Nothobranchius furzeri: one gene and its partner. Each later gene encodes a partner of the first gene's protein in a complex. Links are inferred from orthologs where the notes say so. Each region holds a gene or a part of one and is shown in the gene's direction. Other genes may lie near its edges. The genes, in order: naa50 and naa15b.

Evidence for each region.
Region 2: the proteins of naa50 (region 1) and naa15b are in contact, whole or in part, in a cryo-EM structure (PDB 6PPL), measured with the Homo sapiens proteins. The link is inferred for Nothobranchius furzeri from reciprocal best matches to the Homo sapiens genes NAA50 and NAA15. Residues at the interface, in NP_079422.1 of Homo sapiens: Arg5, His14, Asn15, Lys17, Gln18, Arg21, Leu22, Val25, Phe51, Asn52, Ile54, Ala55, Leu80, Pro82, Tyr83, Leu86; in NP_476516.1 of Homo sapiens: Pro369, Pro370, Thr371, Leu374, Ser403, Thr404, Pro405, Thr406, Leu407, Ile408, Phe411, Glu433, Ala436, Leu437, Asp438, Thr439, Ala440.

The regions. Positions count from the first base shown.
Region 1 is NC_091747.1:50,849,063-50,853,522, forward strand, and holds the start of naa50 (N-alpha-acetyltransferase 50), read left to right. Parts: upstream 1-1,413; 5' UTR 1,414-1,574; coding exon 1,575-1,582; intron 1,583-3,072; coding exon 3,073-3,209; intron 3,210-3,420; coding exon 3,421-3,540; intron 3,541-3,618; coding exon 3,619-3,685; intron 3,686-4,460. UniProt on the Homo sapiens protein: N-alpha-acetyltransferase that acetylates the N-terminus of proteins that retain their initiating methionine. Has a broad substrate specificity: able to acetylate the initiator methionine of most peptides, except for those with a proline in second position.
Region 2 is NC_091746.1:82,172,465-82,176,280, forward strand, and holds part of naa15b (N-alpha-acetyltransferase 15, NatA auxiliary subunit b), read left to right. Parts: intron 1-796; coding exon 797-892; intron 893-970; coding exon 971-1,077; intron 1,078-1,164; coding exon 1,165-1,237; intron 1,238-1,320; coding exon 1,321-1,490; intron 1,491-1,570; coding exon 1,571-1,723; intron 1,724-1,985; coding exon 1,986-2,114; intron 2,115-2,195; coding exon 2,196-2,409; intron 2,410-2,517; coding exon 2,518-2,711; intron 2,712-2,782; coding exon 2,783-2,891; intron 2,892-2,973; coding exon 2,974-3,072; intron 3,073-3,163; coding exon 3,164-3,307; intron 3,308-3,816. UniProt on the Homo sapiens protein: Auxillary subunit of N-terminal acetyltransferase complexes which display alpha (N-terminal) acetyltransferase (NAT) activity. The NAT activity may be important for vascular, hematopoietic and neuronal growth and development.

The DNA.
Region 1 (4,460 bases):
ATTTGTGATTAGTTGATGTCCAAACTGAAGAGCCGAATAGGAATTTGCGTCTATAATGCTGCTGGTCGATTTTCAGGAACATCTGACAGGTTTAATCGACGTTTTTGAAAAACCTAGCTTTATTGACAAAGGACAAGCCATAGACATCGTAGTTTATCCCAGCCCGTTACCTTAAAAACACTGTTAGCTAACTAACTGTGTAGGCAAATACATCATGAAAATGATAGCAAGACTGCTGTCGGCCTTGTCTTAAAAAACTGCTGCCTCTGCCGATTTACCGCAAAATAAACCAAAACGGTTCTATTTTAACCTCGGTGTAAACAAAAGAAGAGGTAGAAATTAACATTTTTTACCGTCAAGTCGTGTAGTGTCCGTTTTGCGTTCTGCCTCGAGAGAGAAGCGGCTGATACTGCGGTGCGTGACAGCGGCCTGAGGTCAGCTGACTTCATTCACTCTACCGCCTCGAATTTTTTTACTGCAGGGCCCTCGCAACAGACGCCATTTTGGATCCGCCCCGGAACTACAGCAAAGATCTTCTATTGTACGAAGATTATCCACTACTTTGACTAAACAGTATAAAACTTTTTTTATACTGTTTGGTTTATTAATTAAAACGTTACCACTTATAAAATGTCTATAATTCTAAAAAAGTTTTAAAAAAATTTATTTATACTTTATTCTGTCTTCATGACGTGATCTTTTTTTAACTTTTCGGTTATATCTTAAGCTCCCCAATCAAAATAGTTCAATTTTCATCATAATTTACAGTAGTTGCTAAAAAAATCTACACTTTGATAAAAGAAAAAGAGAACTACTGTAATCCGGATAAAAAGTAAAGAGCTGTATGTCAAGCTAACGTACCATTTAATATACAGGGTGGTTTAATTTTTTATCCAAAATGATCAATTCATAGAGTTCACGTTTCCTATTTAACACAGATTATGTCACTTTAGACTTACTGGGATTTCATCTCTCTCTCTCTCTCTCTCTCTCTCTCTCTCTCTCTCTCTCTCTCTCTCTCTCTCTCTCTCACACACACACACACACACACACACACACACACACACACACACACACACACACACACACACACACACACACACGCAAATACAGGCGCGCCCAAATTCTTATGACGAGGTTTTATATTATTTTATTATTGCGACTTTCAGGTGTATACAATTGCGTTTTCAATGGACATAAATTGTTTTGTAAGTATCTACAATTAAAAACTATACCAGATGGTTCTGACATTATTTTAGACATCCATAAATAACATTGTGTTTCAAAAATCTCCCTTATTTACTTTGAAGAGACTTTGAAATATCATACAATTATATTTTAATGGTTCTTTCATCAACAACAATTATATTTTACAACTGCCTTCCACATGCAACATTTGTGCGCATGCGTCCGTCAGGGTTGACACAGTCGTGGTAGAAGTGTGGAGGCTAAGCTACATGTGGAGGGTAAAACGGGAGGTATCCCCGACCCTAACTCTGTCAAAATTCCCATCTTTTACCAGAAACATCGCTAAAGTTAAACCCAACCGTAAATAAGGATATTATCTTTTTAAAATGAAAGGGTGAGTTTAAGCTTTTTGTGTCACGAATATGTAGCTTAGCTTGAGTAAAGTTTTTCAGGTCAAGGGAGGCGGGCTGGACACGACGAGGTTAGCTAGCGCGCTAAGCTGATTTTATTTAGCGTTCAGTCAGAAACACGAACGACAGCTCAGTCATTGGAGCAGCTTTGTTGAGACAGGTCTGACCTAAAGCTGCTTTTAGTTTCGTTCAGATCGAAAACTAAGCTAGGCCAACCAGTTAGGTGCCTGTGAGAGCTGAGTCAGTAAACCCCGTTAAGCTAAGCTAAGCACAGACACAAATCTATGGAGATTTTTGTTTGTTGTGAACTTCTGCTGCACAAAACATTTTAACTAAATCAGAGAAGTAGCTGCAGATTCGATTTATGTCAAGTTAGAAAGTTCCAAGTGCTTCACTCTGAACCTCAGAGTCTGTGCTAACTTCCTTTAGTGTAACTTGATCTGTCAAGAGTACCAAGATGTGATTTACAACATAACTTTAATGTCTGTTGTCTTATTCTAAATCCCCATGAGCATTATTGAAGCCGGGCTTTGTTTAATCACCGTGATGGGATTTCATTCTTCATTCTCCATCACGCGACTTTCAGCTTTCTGGAAATACAAGTGGTCCTATAAATACTACACTGACTGAACTCCTTTGCTAGACCAAGAGAATGGATGTTTGCTTATAACAAACCTGATTGAGTCACATGACTTGATCCTAACTGGCGTAACATTATTTTACTTGGTAAAGAGCTAAATCGTTATTTTTAAGTCTAGTCTTTGCCACCACCTTTTTCCTCCAGTCTTGTCTGTTTTTGCAACAAATTATGCAAAGGTAATACTAATATATGGGGGGAAATTACCCTGAAACACAGGAGTATGTTAATGTTAAGGTTAATTCTCAAGCATGAAAATTTACCTGCGGATTTAAACATAAAAGTGATGCTTCTAAAACATTTCACTTCAGAATTTTCAGTTATCTTTTATGCAAGAGATGCACTGATTTTAGGTTTGAAAGCTGAAAATGATTTCTGACTTGTGCAGCTTTGAATTGCTGATGCAGGTTTTGGAAGAACTATAATTTAAAAAATACTTTATACATACATTTTTTTAATATGAAAATTATGATTCTGGAAGCAAACTAAACGTGCACACGAAGTAATTGTTATTCCAAGGGTGAGTTTATGTCTAGCTGTGGTGCATTCACAGACCTGGGGAAAAAGTATGATTTTATTCTGCTGCTTCAAATACCAAAAAATACAGTTTTTGAGTTTAAATAGTTAAATATTGATTCATTCTGATCACCAGCTGGTTTTTGAAGTGCATCTCAAAGTCTGAATACTTCTGCAGTGACACGTAACAAAATATTTCAAGCATTTTAGTGTTTTTGGAAGATACTACGACACCAAATGATCCCTCTTCAATCTAAAAGGCACCTTGGCTTCATTTGTGCACCTGTCGTCAGCCAATTGACCGTTTTGCTCTTGTTCCAGTAGCCGGATCGAGCTGGGGGACGTTACGCCTCACAACATAAAGCAACTGAAACGCCTGAACCAAGTCATCTTCCCTGTCAGCTACAACGACAAATTTTACAAAGATGTACTGGAAGTGGGGGAGCTCGCAAAGCTAGGTGAGAAAAAATGATTCAAGTTGCATTCAGATCATTTGTGACTGATTACCTTTAAAAACACACACATCAGATGAGGTTGATTCTGGTTGTTATAGCAATAAATCAGTCATGTACATGAAAAGTCCTTTTTACTGAAAAATCCAATTAAATTAACTTTTAAATGTCTGCGTTCATCTGTTTGGAAATCATCAGTTTCCTTTTGTCTCTCCAGCGTACTTTAATGACATTGCAGTCGGAGCCGTGTGCTGCAGAGTGGACCACTCTCAGAACCAGAAGAGGCTGTACATCATGACACTTGGTTGTCTAGCACCCTATCGTAGACTTGGAATCGGTACGGCGTTCTGTTCCTCAAACTTTGAGAATCGTGTTTGGTTTTTATTTCTAAAGTTGTCCTTCTGTTTTCCTTTAGGTACAAAAATGCTTAATCATGTGCTGACCATCTGTGAGAAGGATGGCACTTTTGACAACATTTACCTGTAAGTGCCTTTGAGCAGGACATGTTTTAACTCAAATAAGACCATATTTTTAACAGGGGTGCACTGATTACTCAGTAGCTGGTTTATTAGCTTCCTGAATGTCACACAACTGTTATACAAACGTGTGTTTCTGCTCCAATCTATAAATATTCATGTAAACATTTACACCACCATAGATTTAGCATTACACGGTTACTTACATGTAAACATCACCAGCATCAGAAATAGATTTTCCACTTCATCCAGCAGGTCTTTTATATATATTTCTACAGAAATAACCAGGCTTTACTAAAAGGATGGTGATGTGATTGTTTATAAAATACTTCAGCTCATGAGACGTTGGAGAAACTTTGGACATAAGAGCGGTTTTAACACAACACACTGAATATTCAGTTCTGAAAGGTGGCAGTTTCACTTTTCTTGACTTTTAAGCAGAAATCTGGAGGTTTTTTTCTTGGAGGGTGCCATCTAGAGGTGGAAAAATATATCGCACCCTAAAGTGGTGGTGTGTATTATCTCTAGCAATAGGGGGCAGTACATACCTAAATCATTGCAAGTAAGTTGTATTTTTGTTTGAGTAAGACCTTAACAACGGATGGCCATTAGGGTCAAAATCCCAGGGAGCGCAATTTTCAAACAAGTACTCCATCAGATCGTTCATCCTCCAGCAAAACCAAAAGCACATCAGATTTTCTTTCATCACTGGCAATGAGTAAAGAGGTTAATGTATAAAACCGCAATGTTTATGAATGGCAAAAGTTTTGTAACCGCTTGT
Region 2 (3,816 bases), on another chromosome or scaffold:
TTTTTACATTAATGGTATATTTTTTTACAGTAAGACGCCCAAATTTTTATTTGAGACTCGCCGAACGGCATTGAATTCACGGATAAAAAAGATGTTGGTTCAACTTTCATTTTGGAACAATTTTTCAAGCAAGGGAAGGGAATGATCTGAGCATGCAGGAGGACTGACCCATCATAAACCTTTGTCGCTGTGCTGAAGAGAAAGGTACAGAACCAAATTATTTAATTAATTAGCTGCGCGTTCTCCTGTCCTCCGGGACACACACACACACACACCACGCACGCGTGCACACACACACACACACACACACAACTGTCTCAGCTGTTGTTTTTGTTAAGGAGTGTGCACGTACAGCATGCGCGCCTCGTGCACGAGCCTACTATTGAAGCTGCTGTTATGCTTTTGGCCAGAGGGGGCAATCGCGAGCATAAAAATTCAAAAGTCTGTAAAGTCCCTTAAACTAGTAAAAAGTAACTAGTGTAGTTTCCTGTGAGACCTCCGCGGCTGAGGTAAACAGAACAGAAGATAAACCAGACCTTTTGGAGACACGCTGCATTAATTCTTTGTTTTTATCGTTGGAACTTCCAAAATAACGTGCGGTGTTTCAATTCTCCTGTGGATGTGTGACCTCGTGGAACCAGCTGTGTAAAACGCTTTTGCCCCCGTTTCGCGTCTGAAACGCTCCCGTTTGGAAGGGAGACGCGGGTCAAACGCGTCCTGTTACGTTACACACCGCTTACACATCCAGTGGAAAGGCTGGGTTAGACTCTACCCGAGTTTTGTTTTCTGTTCCCAGGCAGCGTCGAGGAGAAACTAAAGATCTACGAGGAAACCTGGGAGAAGTTTCCCAAAGGCCTGGTTCCTCGCAGGCTCCCCCTCAACTTCCTCTCTGGTGACTTCAATAACACCAGTCGCGTGTTCTTCCCCTGTGTGGATTATGTTTGTTAAGAATGTGTTTGCTTTTGTTCAGGGGAGAAATTCAGGGAGTGCCTGGACAGGTATCTGAGGATGAACTTCAGTAAAGGCTGCCCGCCCGTCTTCACCACGCTCAAGTCACTGTACAACGACAAAGAAAAGGTGAGCGAGATGCTTTCAGCGCTGAAGAGAAGGTCTCAGATTAAAACATTTGGACCTTCAGTGAGTTTAATACTTTTCTTTCCTCAGGTGGGAATAATAGAAGAATTGGTGGTCGGATACGAGACGTCGTTAAAAGGCTGTCGGATGTTCAGCCAGAACGGTGAGAAGGTTTCAGAGTCGCTGCAACAACCAAACGTTTAGTAGCAACTTCAGTACTGAAGGAGTTTTCTGTCCTGGTTGCAGACGACGGTAAGGAGGAGCCTCCCACCACCTTACTCTGGGTTCAGTACTTCCTGGCTCAGCACTACGACGTGATCGACCAGCAGACGCTGGCGCTAGAATACATCAACACGGCCATCGAGAGCACGCCGACGCTCATCGAGCTCTTCCTCATCAAAGCCAAGATTTACAAGGTAACGTGTCACCACCCCGCATGCTGTCACGCTTGTGCGGTGTATCGGAGGAGTTTGCGTTGACCTGTTGTGTCCCGCAGCATGCTGGAAACATCAGAGAGGCGGCCCAGTGGATGGACGAGGCCCAGGCGCTCGACACCGCCGACAGATTCATCAACTCCAAGTGTGCCAAGTACATGCTGAAAGCAGGCATGATCAAAGAGGCCGAAGAAATGTGCTCCAAGTTCACACGGGTGAGAAAACGGTCGCACCCGTGTCTTCTGGCATAAACTGGTTCAATCTGGAGCTTTGGCAAAAATATGTAAACATCAACCAAAGCTCTGACTTATTTTACTGCTTAGATGTAGGCAGAAGCTTTGGGTTTTTTCATGCGTTCGTCTAAAAGTGATGAACCGCCTGTTCCATTCATCCTGAGTCAGGAAGCTGCAGTAAATAAAAGCTGAGTGTCGCTGCAGCAGCATTAGCTCTGCTCCAATGTGCTTTTGTGTTTTCCAGGAGGGAGCGTCGGCTGTGGAGAACCTGAACGAGATGCAGTGCATGTGGTTCCAGACGGAATGTGCCCTTGCCTACAAAGCTATGAACAAGTTCGGAGAAGCTCTGAAGAAGTGCCACGAGATCGAAAGGGTGAGTTGTTCTCACTGTTGCAGGCAGAGCTCAGGATGACCTGTGTGAATTTAATTATTTTCATTTTTTTGTATGAATCAGCATTTTGTGGAGATTACAGATGACCAGTTTGACTTCCACACCTACTGCATGAGGAAGATGACGCTCCGCTCCTACGTAGACCTCCTGAAGCTGGAGGACGTTCTCCGGATGCATCCCTTCTACTACAAGGCCGCCATCTCGGCCATCCAGATCTACCTGAGTCTCCATGAAAACCCTCTGACCGACGACAGCAAAGAGCTGCAGGCGGACACCGGTGAGAAGCTCACTGATGACACGGCTGTTTCCTCATTATTGGATCTCCAAATTAGAGACGTTCAGTTTGTTCCATCCGTTTTTAGCTCCGCCTCTTTCTTGTCTTCAGCAAACCTTTCAGACAAAGAACTGAAGAAGTGGAGGAACAAACAGCGAAGAGCCCAGAAGAAGGCCCAGCTGGAGGAGGAGAAGAAGAACGCCGAGAAGGAGAAGCAGCAAAAGAACATGAAGAAGAAGAAAGAGGATGACGACGAGGAAATCGGAGGGCCCAAAGAAGAGCTCATTCCTGAGAAACTGGTCAAGGTTAGAAACGGGGAGCAGGAGGCGAGCGGATCAGCCTGATCAGACGTCTGACTCGTCTTTGACTTTAACAGGTAGAAAATCCACTGGAAGAAGCCGTGAAGTTCCTGATGCCTCTCAAACAGCTGATCAAAGACAAAATAGACACACATCTACTGGCCTTTGAGATCTACTTCAGGAAAGGTCAGCTTTGGAATATTTCACCCGGTTTTCTCCCGTTTCTTTGTTCTCTCCTTCACACATCCCTGGTGTGTTTTCCTTTTAGAAAAGTACCTGTTGATGCTACAATCAGTGAAGCGGGCTCTGGCCATCGACCCGGACCACCCGTGGCTGCACCAGTGTCTAGTGCGCTTCTTCAAAGGAGGTGAGAGGGGCTTTTGTGACCTCACCATGCCCCTTGTCCCCTCTTCTTCTTATTCACATCCCGTCTGTCTTTTCACTCCTCGAACGTCTAGTCTCGGAGAGCAAGGACCTGCCAGAGGTTGTCAGGACGGTGCTGAAGCAAGAGATCACTCGGCTGTTTGGAGACAGCAATGCTAAGAGCTTCAACCAGGCCTACCTCACCAAGCACTCCAGCTCCATCCCACACCGACTGGCTGGTGAGCATCTTTAGATTCAATTCAGTTTTATTTATAAAGCGCCAAATCACGACAAGTCATCTCAAGGCACTTCACATAATAAACATTCCAATCCAGGTCAGTTCTTTAAGCCAGTCAGAAAAAAATTTCCTATATAAGGAACCCAGCAAATTGCATCAAGTCACTGACTAGTGTCAGAGTCTTTACAGCAATCCTCATACTGAGCAAGCATTTAGCGACAGTGGAGAGGAAAACTTCCTTTTAACAGCAAGAAACCTCCAGAGGATCCTGGCTCAGTATAAGCAGCCATCCTCTAGGGGTGGGCGGTATAAACGGTATACGGTAGAAATGATATTAATTTGGCCAATGGTAGCGCATGTTGATGACATCATCAAGCGGCGTCTGTTGAGGCTGAAAGCATGGAGCCTGTGGTGGAGGAGGAGGAGGTTCTCGTAAAGAAGACCGGTGCAACATCGGTCATTTGGACTTGGTTTGGCTTTAAGGAGTCGGATGTGGAGCAGAACAATATA